3 linked regions of the Macaca mulatta genome follow. The protein of the gene in region 2 interacts with the protein of the main gene of each other region in a biochemical or structural test. Links are inferred from orthologs where the notes say so. Each region holds a gene or a part of one and is shown on either strand. Other genes may lie near its edges.

Region 1 (3,219 bases), on a different chromosome or scaffold from region 2:
CGGCCACCACCACTAAGCGCGGCGGGGAGGGGGAGCAAGGACCGGACGAGACCCCACGCCAGAAAACAGGCGGCAGGCGAGGGGCGAGGCTTACCACTGCACCACGCGAGTGGAGAGGGTCGTTTCCGCTAGCGGCGGCCCACACCAGCTCACCGAGGGGCGGCGGCGCGCGGCCCTGCTGCCGGACCGTACCATCCCGGGCGGTGGAGCCACCGCGGAGGGGCGCGCGCGAGCCGAGGGCGCGCCTGGGAGGTCTAGGTAGTCCCGGGGGCCGGCGTTGCGGCGCCGGGGAGTCCGGGTTCTTGCCTGGACGCACCCGGAGCCAGCCCCCGCCCCCCGGACACAACATCTTCATGGGGACGGTGGCGCGACACGCCCCACTCTGCCGCGCCCAAACTCCGCAGACCCCCTAGCTTCCCTCGGCGGCCGCGACCTCCCGCCTCCCCGCTGTGCAGCTAAGGGCCCGCGGCGTACACAATAGGCTTCCCAGGATTAAGAGGCAGAGGTAGAAGAAATACGGACTTTAATGAAGAGTTTTCCCTTTGGTATAAGTGAGACCCGTGGAAACATCCAAACAACAGCAAAAGGAGTCCAGGATGAAAACGGTCAACTGTCCCTTATCCACAAGGCCAAAAGAGGGGCCCAGGCTGGGCCGGGCCTGTAGAAGGTACTCAGGAACTGCAGGTTTTGCGTTTCCCCTCCATGAAACTGACAGGCATTCGAGCTGACTTCTGCCTCTCAGTCTCGCGGTAAGAGACCCAAGTTTTTCTAGTCCTAGATGGAAATAAATTTCATCTGCCTCAGGTCTGGTATAAAAGGTGCGATCCCAGTTACCTCACAGGCCTGGGCGAGGAAAATGCCAACAGCTGTAAAAGGGCTTGGAAAAGTCAAAAAGGTGATGTATAAATGTAATAATTGATTACCATTTTGTGCTCGAGAATAAGCCATGGAAAACAAAATAGGAAAGTAAGTCTACAGCCCTAAAATATATGCATATAAAACTTTAAAAGAATGCAGTTCCAACTCTACAGATGGTATTTGGGGATTGTCTACTGCTTTAAGAGTCTCAATGCCCTTTTTCCCACCTCCACAAAATCCACCTGGGAGAGTGAACTGTACAAGAGGCCCAAATTCAGTCACCCCTACCCCACCCTGCCAGAAAGGGAGGCAGGGCAGAGGCTCCAGGAAGGGCTACACTTTGGCTGTAGAGTACAATAGGCATGCAACATGGGAGAGGGCAGGCCTTACGAAATGTATATACAGACCCCTTGGGGTGAGGGGCCCCGGCCAGGAGGCACTGAGCAAGGGAGGGATCCATCTCCCCCCTGGCCGGGAGGGGGGCTCTGGGGCAATCTCTAAGGGTTGCATATCCCCAGGGAGAGGGGACAGCTGCCACTCCTGCCTCTGTTATCCCAAACCAAACCGGAAAGAGTGCTGAGCAAGAAGACAGGTCCCAGAAGCCAAGAAGGTGTTGGCATCCCTGTCATTGAACTCAGGGGCCCAAGAACTCTGCATAAAATATCATCAGACCTAAGAGATGGTCAAAGGCACAAAGTTTAAACATGGTGGGGTGGGGGTGTTGAGAAGGGTCTGGGATACCCTGAAGCACAGAAGTGTGATTTGTTCCCCCTTGCCCAAAAGGGTGACTGTTCCACTGGGCCTGTCACCACAGGACATTTTCCATGACAACCACTCACTTTCTTGGGGAAGGGGCATCAGGTTGGCACAGGAAAGGCCCAGGTGAAGGGCCACTCTGTACATTAATACTTTGGTGATCAATGTTTGGGGAGAGGCAGGATTCTCCCCCAGGCTTCTGACTCAAACCCTCAAACCCTCACTCAGCTGGATATGAAACCCAGAGTCCACACTACTCCCAGCTCTGACACAAGGCCAAGCCCGCAGAACACTCCCAAATGAGGTCCCAAGAGTTAGGGAATAGGGTGGAAGGGATTGGAGGGCATCTTCTGGAAGAGAGGTCTGGGGCAGATCACAGTTTCCGCTCCACAGGTTGCTGTAGACACAGTTCGCTGCCCGCAGAGATGATGGGCAAGTGATTGTCCATATGGTAGCTGATGAGGTGACTGACACTCTCAAAGCGGTGATCCTTAGTCCGAACCTGGGAGGGTGGGAAGGAAGAAGGTCAATTCAGGTGAAGAGTCAAATAAGACCTCAGCCTCCAAGGTGGAAGAGGGTAAAACAGACAAGAGGCTTGAAGAAGGAGAAAAAAATGGTAGGGGAGAGTGTGGCCTATCAGTCCTGATCATTGAGGTTTCTCTAGAAAGAGACAGTTGCAGGAATAGACAGGTCAGTGAAGTGGGAAAAGGCAAAGGTGACATCAGCCCTGAAAGAGTGAAGCTGAGAGCTATATACCCTTTTCTTGACGTGGAAAAAGTTGGCATGTCTCAGAAGAGTATACACAGTGCAAAAAAAGATGTGGAGGCTGGGCATGGTGGCTCATGCCTGCAATCCCAGCACTCTGGGAGGCTAAGGGAGGCGGATCACTTGAGCCCAGGAGTTCAAGAACAGCTTGAGCAACATGGCGAAACCCCATCTCAACAACAACAACAAAAATACAAAAATTAGCCGGGTGTGCCACCACACCCCAGCCTGGATGACAAAGCAAAACCCTATCTCAAAAAAAAAAAGAAAAGAAAAAGAGGAAAGGAGGCTGAGATTGCTGTAGAAAACAGACAAAAGTTTGTTTGTTTCTAGACAGGGTCTCTGTCACCCAGGCTAGAGTGCAATGGCGCAGTCATGGCTCACTGTAACCTCAAACTCCTGGGCTCAAGCAATCATCAGGCCTCAGCCTCCTGGGTAGGTAGGACTACAGGCATGTGTCACCATTCCTGACTAATTTTTTGTTTTTTTTTATTTTTCTAGAGATAAGGTCTTGCCATGTTGCCTAGGCTGGTCTAGAACTCCTGGCCTCAAGCAATCCTCCCACCTCAGCTTCCCAAAATCTTGCGATTACAGGCATGAGCCACCACACCTGGCTAAACAAGGAAAGTTTTGAAGAACAGTGAGGCAGTGCAAATAAGAGAAAGCACAGTGGTCTGACTCCTGAGTCTGAGGAGCTGGAGAAGCCCTTGGATCTTCTTACGAAAGGAAACTTGCAGTGTCTAGCCTTTAACCATGTGACATTGGGCCTCACAACCTCTTCGGGGTGGTTTCCTTATTTGTAAAAATGGGCACAGATGGCCGGGCGCGGTGGCTCACGCC
Region 2 (4,210 bases):
AGGGCTGGGGAGCAAATGCTGCTACTTCTGCAGCTGCAGATAAACCCAGCTGCCCTGCACACCCCTCAGCCTGGGGCTGCCTGCCTTTGCCATGTCCAGCAGGCTGCGGCCACTCCGCAGGGAACAGAGAAAACTAGGGGGTGGTGGGGTTTGTTTTTCAAGAAGTTCAATCTCTTTGCTTTAAATGACTGGTCTTTTTTTTTTTTTTTTTTTTTTTTTTTGTATGCCCTTCCTGCCTTTTTTGTTGTCAAAGGCTGCTTTCTTTCAAGAAATGAGATGTTGGAGGATGACAGTTTGTTATCATTCATTTAATTACTTTTTAGTTTTAAAATCTCCGTAATTGGCAAAATCCAGGGTAGCAGCCACATGAAGCCTGCAGATGTGTGGAAAGTCTGCAGGTCCATCGCGTCCCACAGCCTACAGTGGAGCCTGACCCTGCAGGAACGGAAGCTTCCTACGCTGAGCAGAGGAGAAAGGGGAACCCTGAGCCCAGGGTTTGTCTGGCCAAGGGGTGGGGCTCCTGGTGTTTGCAACCCAGCAGCCTCAGGATAGGAGGCTGATGAGGCTTTGGCTAAGAGGATAGTGGACCTCTGTGGGCACCACAGGTCCCTTTCTAAGGAGCAGACACTGCACACCTGTCATGACTCTGAGAGTAACTCAGTGCAGACAAGGGTTCCGAGAGAAGAGGTGGAGGAAGGAATACGGGAACTGGCCTGGAAGCCAGCAGTTTTGCCCCCAGCCAGCATGGTGGACAAAGGCCTCAGGCTCTCTGCACTCTGTCTACCCCCTGAAAAGCCAGGGCTGTTGCACCAGAGCTTTTCCAAGACCTTTCCAGCTCTGACTCTGGCTCAGGCTGATCCTAGACATTAAGATGCTCACAGCTTGGAGTCAGAGAGACCCACATCCCATGTCTGTAACTTGAGCAACCACAAAGCCCTGGTCAAAGAGCTGCATCGAAGGTTAATGAGATGGGGCCCTGGAAGCCCTCGGCTCAGCCAACACCAAGCAGCCAGGACAAGATCCCACTGGGCCAGGAGAGAAATCCAAATAATCCACATGGGCCGGGTGGAGTCAGACTGGGCTTGTGAGATGCCTAAGAGAATCTTCCTGCCCCTTCTAAGGCCCCGGCAGCAGCAGGTCCCCACTGGGGAAGTCCAGGCAGCCTGGGCCTGCGTTCCTTCCCCTGAGGCATGAGAGAGGGGGCACAGGAAGCCAGTCTTGGAGGTGGGGCTGCAGATTGTCAGCACAGGCCAGCGACCAGCTGTGAGCCTGGGTTGGCTTCCAGTGCCCCAGCCGACCCTGTAAACACTCCGGCTGCCCTTGCTTCTGCCTCCAGCCCCACAAGGCTACATGCATGCCCCGCTAGACTGGGAGCAGGAGAGGTCGGTCCACAGGCTGCTGGTCTCAGCTGCAGCCTCTGGGGGCAGATGGCCATGGCTTTGACTGTTGTCACTCACTTAACTGCCAGGGCCTCAGATTTCTCATCTGCAAAGTGGGGCTTTTGACAGGACCTTCACTTCAGGTTGTGGTGAGGATGAAATGGGCTAACAAATGCTTAGCACAGCAGGCCCCAGCTGTGAGTCAGTATTCAAAACAGGTCTGGGTTCATCACCCACTTCCCCTCCTGCCTGAAGAAGGGCAAGGCCCTCTCCGCTTGGGGGAACATTTCTGCTAGCCCGGGGATGCTACTGGAGATGTTCGGGTGGACATACCCTTCCCTGACTACACCCTGGCACTGCCCGAGGCCTCGGCAAAATGATTAGACCAAGAGCTGCAGGGCAAGGGCCTCCTTCAGACACTGGACAGGAAGGGGGTTTTAGAAAGGAACCTTCAGCAAGTGGCTGGTTCCTCCATTGCTAGCACAGCTGGCACATTCAGTAACATCCCCAACCGGGCAGTGGGAGGAGTTGATGGTGACAGAGACCCAAATTGAGGGGTGGGGGTGGGCAGCGGTCACAGCCAAGTGCTCAGGAGACAGAGAAGAGGCTGCTCGCTCGTGGTAGTGGTGAGCGAACGGAAAGTCCTTTCTTGATTAAACTCAGCCCATATGCTTGGCTCGCCGAACAACAGCTGCCCCCAGGGTCCCAAAGCCTGGGTGCTCCAGGAAGGGTCCCCCTTGCCACCTTTGCTCTTCTCAGGGTTTCTGAGCTGGGCATCTTTGAACTGATCTCTAACACACCCACCTCCAAGGAGCCCTGAGCTTCCTCCTGGTTCAAAAAGCCCAAACTCGTTCTCTCGTTCCCCAGACTTCAAGGAAGCCCCGGGCACCACACAGCTCATGGGAAGCTGGGGTGTAAGATCAGGCCTCGGAGTGGTTCTGACAGCTCCAAGGCTGCAAAATCTGCCACGAGACCAGCTCTCTGAACTCCAAGGCCAAGGTCCAAGGACAAGGTCCATGACAGGGTGGCGGGGAAGTGTGCATGGCAGATCACTTTGTCCTGTGACATAAGAACAACCCATCCCAGTGCTGGGCCCCCTCTAAGCCTCTCTGTCATCTCTGTGCCCGGGGACGGAGCAGGTTGTACTCACAGCACGCAGAGCGCGTATGCCCGGGAGATGGACTCGCTGGCACGCACGAGGAAGCTCCCATCCTTGCCCGTCCTGGAGAGCAGCTCCTCCGCCTTGGAGCGGGTGATATTGCCGTGGTTCCAGCAGGGGACCATGGTGGGCATGGGCCTCCTCGGCCGGGCCAGCGGGCAACCCCAGGACCCACACGCCACCGAGGGGAGCGGAGGCCCCTCTGCTGTAACCTGCCGCCTGTTGCCTCTTGGTGGCCTCGGCTGCTGCCACCAGCTTAACTGGCTGACTTCCTGTTTCAGGCGCTCAGCGAGGGAAAGGAAACTGAGCGGCGGAGAACTTCCTCATTACAGAAACCAAGCGAGAGAGGGCGGGGGGAAGCCCTGGCCATCCACCGTCCCCCACACCCCGCCACGGCTACTGCGGCTCCTTCACCGGCCCTCTCCTTCCTGGCAACAGGTCGCAGCCTACAAGTGAAGTGTCCAGGGACAGCTGAAGTCCCACTGGGCAGAATGACCGGCTCTGGAGATGTCAGGAGAGTCGTGGCCACTTCTGAAGAAGCATGGCCTAGCAGGCATGGGTGGGCCCGAAGAGTGGTTCTTCTGCGGCCATGCTGACGCCCACATGGGATGCCACGCCCTAGACAGGTCCCTGAGCCTTCTGCTCTCCCCCAGGGCTTTTCAACGCCCATCCTGAACCCCTAAAACACCCAAGGGGGCACAGCTTCTCAACTGGGACTACAGCCTGCCCAGGACAGAGCAAACTTGAGGGGGAGGGGACAGTCAAGCCCCACCACTCCCCTTTAGAGACTCCCAGCGGCCTGGGTGCTGGGAGACCTTGGCCACCACCAGCCGAGGGTGCCGAGGTCCAAGTGACGGCTCTGTGACTGCATTCCCCTCATTCCCAGGGGCCGGTGGATGCTGCACGGGCAGCACAGCTCTTATCCCTGCAGTCCAGCTTGGAGACACACAAAGGGAGCTTGGAGGGGATGTGGACCATTTACAGTGGGAACACAGGCTGACTTTTTCTCTGGGCTTCTCCAGGATGCTGGGGAAACAAGCTCGGAGAGGAGAACCCCAAAGCCCCACAGGGCAGGCTGGCCGCCTGGCCAAGGATAACACGGGGTCCTGAGTCCTGCATCTCAGCAGTCGGGGTGGCTGGTCAGACTGTACCTCCTCCAAGGCTGGGCATGGCCACATTTGCCCACCTCTCCAAGGGGAGCTGCCTCTCCAGGGACTGCCATCCAGGACCAGTCATTTCTGAGGGCTCTGCAGTGGACACCCATCCCTCAGCCCCCAGACCTGGGTACCCTCCATCCTTGGGTCAGGCCCACCAAGGCTGAAGGGGCAGGTGTTGACCCGCTGCACAAGGAGTGTCCCCTCATCCCACATCCAGGCCTTGGGCTCCAGGACATGACAACAGACCCCCTCCAGGAAGGGGCACCAGCCAGGCAGTGGCACCAGCCAGGCAGCGCCACCACATTCAAGCTGTGGGAACCTGGTCAAGTTTCTTCTCTCTCTCGGCCTTGGTTTCTTCTTGTCTAATTTGAAGGACGTAGCTCGTAAAGGAGCTCACATGTGCCCAGGGGCTCAACGTGCGTCACGCTGATGGTTGTCCCAGGACAGGGCCCCCAGCACCTCCCTGCTGTAGCAACACGCACAGCAGGTGAGTCTGTAGGGCAGACAAAGCACTC
Region 3 (3,500 bases), on a different chromosome or scaffold from region 2:
CAAAGTTTTGAGTTCCACAACTGTAGATTTAATGAATTGTGGATCCAGAATATTCAGAGGAAAAAAATTGCATCCATATTGAATATGTAGACACTTCTTTCTTTGTCATTATTCCCTAAACAATACAGTATAACAACAATTTAAATAGCACTTACATTGTATCAGACATTGTAATTAATCTGAGATTATTTAAGTAAGGTATACAGAAGGATGTGCATAGGTTATATGCAAATACTGCACCTGTTTATACCAAGGACTTAAATATTCGTGGATTTTGGCATCTGTGGTTATGGCATGGGTCCTGGAACTAATTCCCCATGGATACTGAGGGACATGTAAAGCATCTAGCACAACAAATGTTACATTTATCCATTCATTTGTTTTTAACTCAAAAAATACTCATTGTCCAGGCAAGTTTTCCATCTCTCTTTTCCACTATTCCTGCCTTCATGGTTCTTCCTCATTTGAGCTTCTACTTAAAACATTTGTGTCAAACATGTAGCCTGATACATAATCCAGCCAATGAGAGGAAGGGAAAGGAATTAAGGGTTCCGAGGTACTTATTATCATCCCCATTTTACCCAAGGGGGGAAAAATTGAGACTCAGAGAGGTTAATGAATCTGCCAGAGATCACAGAGCTTTTTTTGTTTTTTTAAATTTATTTATTAGGGATGGGATTACACCATGTTGTCCAGGCTGGTCTCAAACACCTGGACTCAAGTGATCCACCTGCCTCAGCCTCCCAAAGTGCTAGGATTACAGGTGTGAGTCACCACACCTGACCTCTAAGAGATCACAGAGCTTCTGAATGATGAAGCTGGTGTCCCAGTTCAGTGGCGCGATCTCGGCTCACTGCAACCTCCGCCTCCCGGGTTCAAGGGATTCTGCTGCCTCAGCCTCCCGAGTAGCTGGGATTACAGGTGCCAGCCACATGCCCAGCTAATTTTTGGTAGTTTTAATAAAGACAGGGTTTCACCATGTTGGCCAGGCTGGTCTCAAACTCCTGACCTTGTGATCCACCCTCCTCGGCCTCCCAAAGTGCTGGGATTACAGGCATGAGCCACTGCTCCCAGCCTGCCTCAGTCTTGTTTATTTTTTGTGCAAAAGTACTTATTTTAGTTGCCCTTACTTGGCTGTAAGTTCCTTATTAATGAGAACTGTATTTTTTTTTCCTATAGTGCCCATGCTGCTGGCATATGAAGTCTCTGTTTATATAATAAAAAGTTGTGGAAAGTGAACTCAGGTAACTCGTAGGATGAGCGTAAGCAACAACCCAAGAACTCATCTAGGTATCCCTGGGATCATTCTCATGCTCCCGCTCCAGGCTACTGCTGCACAGTATAGTTACCTCTTGAACTATGTGGCCTGGAGAAAGTTATCACTCAAGAGGAGAGAACAGTTCTCCATTAGCCTCTCTCAGGAAGAAAATAATGTTCAGGAGCCATTTCAGGACTGTCACTCACCAAAAAACTGTGTCCTCCCTCTGCAGAAGAAAAGCTTGCATCTCCCAGAAGGAAACAGGGATAATTTTTTTTCCAGAGTAGGATAGCTTTACAGGAACTATGTGCTTGGAGGCCAGGACTCCCCTGGGAAGGGCTACAAGGCACTGGGAGAGGAAGCCAAGGGATTTTATCTCATACCACGTCTGTCTTACACATGAGCCTGGTTGTGGGTCCAAACCTTCAGCCCTTGTTATAGCCCAGTGTGTTCCACTTACCGTGATGGGCATTCTGACAGTCCTGAGTGAGATTCAGGGTGTGGCTTTCCCAGCTAACAGGATTGCTGACGTTGCAGGTATATGTGTGCGTGCCATTAATGTCAACCTCCTCCTCCAGGTAGGTGAGGTTCCCTGCTGTCTGGATCAGCTTGCTGCCTCTGTACCAAGCATAGGTCACATTGTCATCCCTGGAGACCAAGCAGGACAGAGCCACTTGGCACCTCCCTCTGTCCAGGATCTTGCCCTGCCCCTGTAGGCGGGGTTTCTCAACTTTATCTGGAAGCAGAGATGCTGATCAGAAAGGCATGGAAATACAGAAATTAGAGGCCTACAGGAATCAGAGAGGGCAGTATGAGCAGTCCTGGAGACTTACCAAATACAAAAACCTGGAACATGGCTCTCTGAACTTGTCCCATCGTATTGGTGACCTCCAGGCAGTAGAGGCCACTGTCCTGCTGCTGAGCTGCCTTGATGAGAAGAGTCGAGTTCTTGATTATAAAACTGAATCTATTGTTGAAGGTATTGGAAGGCGAAGAGCCATTCTCCCACTGCAATATCTGACGAAATGTATTTTGTGAGGGCAGCCACATCTTCCACTGAACATTGTAAATCTTTGTCTGTATGCTGTTTGGTTGTAACTGAAGGGGCATTCCCAAGATGCTAAACACATGGTCAGCTGATCCCTGGCATCCTAGGAAAGAGAACCCAAGCTGAAAGTAGCGGGAAGAGTGAGCAATGTGGGCAGCTGGATGTGATTTCCCTTAAGCCAATAGGTTGGGGATGGGTATGAGGAGCCCAGAGCCTAGGAGCACCTTAAAGTGTATCCCCCCATCTGCCTCCCCTTGTCCCCAAGCTCTTTGTCCCTAGTCTGAAGGATCCCATAGACCAATAGCTAAAATCTTGAGTACTTACTATGTGACAGGCAGGTTTCGCACTTTATACATTTTAACCGTTTAAGTTAAAAGGAATAAAATGGTGAAAATGTACAAATGTTTTATACATTTTAACTATTTAACTTAACAATGACCCTTATCCCCATTTTATAGGTGAGGAAACTGAGTTAGAAAGAGCTTAAGTAACTGGCTTAAGTTACACAGTGAGAATGATGAGCCTGAAACCTAGTCAGTTTGGTGTTGTTTTTGTTTTCTTTTGTTTTGTTTGTCAGAGACAGGGTCTCACTCTGTCACCCAGGCTGAAGTGCAGTGGCACAATCACAGCCCACTGCAGCCTTGAACTCCTAGGCTTGAGGTGATCCCCCCACCTCAACTTCCCTCGTAGCTGGGACTACAGGTGCATGCCACTGCACCCAGCTTATTTGTTTACTCTTTGTAAAGACAGCAGTTTGACTTCAGAGGATAAATTCTTAACCATGATGTTATAAACACCACATCTAATGTGACTCCCTCCAAGCAGTGCTGAGGCAACTACTAATGGAAAGTAGTGACTGTCAGAAATTCTGAAGGGTCAGGCCCAGGAAGAATGACCCTCCAAGCTGGACTCATGACCCCTCAACTGTCCTCTCAGAGAGCTGAATACATAATCCTCTCTCGTGGCACTTGGCACATTGGATTTTGGTCATTACTCATTGATGTTTGCCAGTTTTTCAGTGATCAGAAAGTCTCCACAAAAATTTCTCCCTAGAAAACAATTTTTAAAATAAAACTACACTTCCCAGGTAGATCCCAGCACTTCCCTGTCAATGAATCCAGATGAGACCTAATGAATATGGGGGTGTGACAACCTGGAGCAATTCAGTGCAGGCAGTGTACAAAACTGGAAGTT

What was found. The genes of interacting proteins can lie anywhere in the genome.
Region 1: the proteins of INPP5D (region 2) and SHC1 form a complex in vitro, tested with the Homo sapiens proteins (2 studies listed by BioGRID and IntAct, with this or other methods). The link is inferred for Macaca mulatta from reciprocal best matches to the Homo sapiens genes INPP5D and SHC1.
Region 3: the proteins of INPP5D (region 2) and CD244 interact in a biophysical measurement, tested with the Homo sapiens proteins (2 studies listed by IntAct). The link is inferred for Macaca mulatta from reciprocal best matches to the Homo sapiens genes INPP5D and CD244.

The regions. Positions count from the first base shown.
Region 1 is NC_133406.1:112,039,266-112,042,484, reverse strand, and holds the end of SHC1 (SHC-transforming protein 1), read right to left. Parts: exon of another isoform or gene 2,854-3,219; intron 2,117-2,853; coding exon 1,988-2,116; 3' UTR 501-1,987; downstream 1-500. UniProt on the Homo sapiens protein: Signaling adapter that couples activated growth factor receptors to signaling pathways. Participates in a signaling cascade initiated by activated KIT and KITLG/SCF.
Region 2 is NC_133417.1:138,332,530-138,336,739, reverse strand, and holds the start of INPP5D (phosphatidylinositol 3,4,5-trisphosphate 5-phosphatase 1), read right to left. Parts: upstream 2,801-4,210; 5' UTR 2,673-2,800; coding exon 2,530-2,672; intron 1-2,529. UniProt on the Homo sapiens protein: Phosphatidylinositol (PtdIns) phosphatase that specifically hydrolyzes the 5-phosphate of phosphatidylinositol-3,4,5-trisphosphate (PtdIns(3,4,5)P3) to produce PtdIns(3,4)P2, thereby negatively regulating the PI3K (phosphoinositide 3-kinase) pathways.
Region 3 is NC_133406.1:106,022,122-106,025,621, reverse strand, and holds part of CD244 (natural killer cell receptor 2B4), read right to left. Parts: intron 2,410-3,500; coding exon 2,092-2,409; intron 2,010-2,091; coding exon 1,719-2,009; intron 1-1,718. UniProt on the Homo sapiens protein: Heterophilic receptor of the signaling lymphocytic activation molecule (SLAM) family; its ligand is CD48.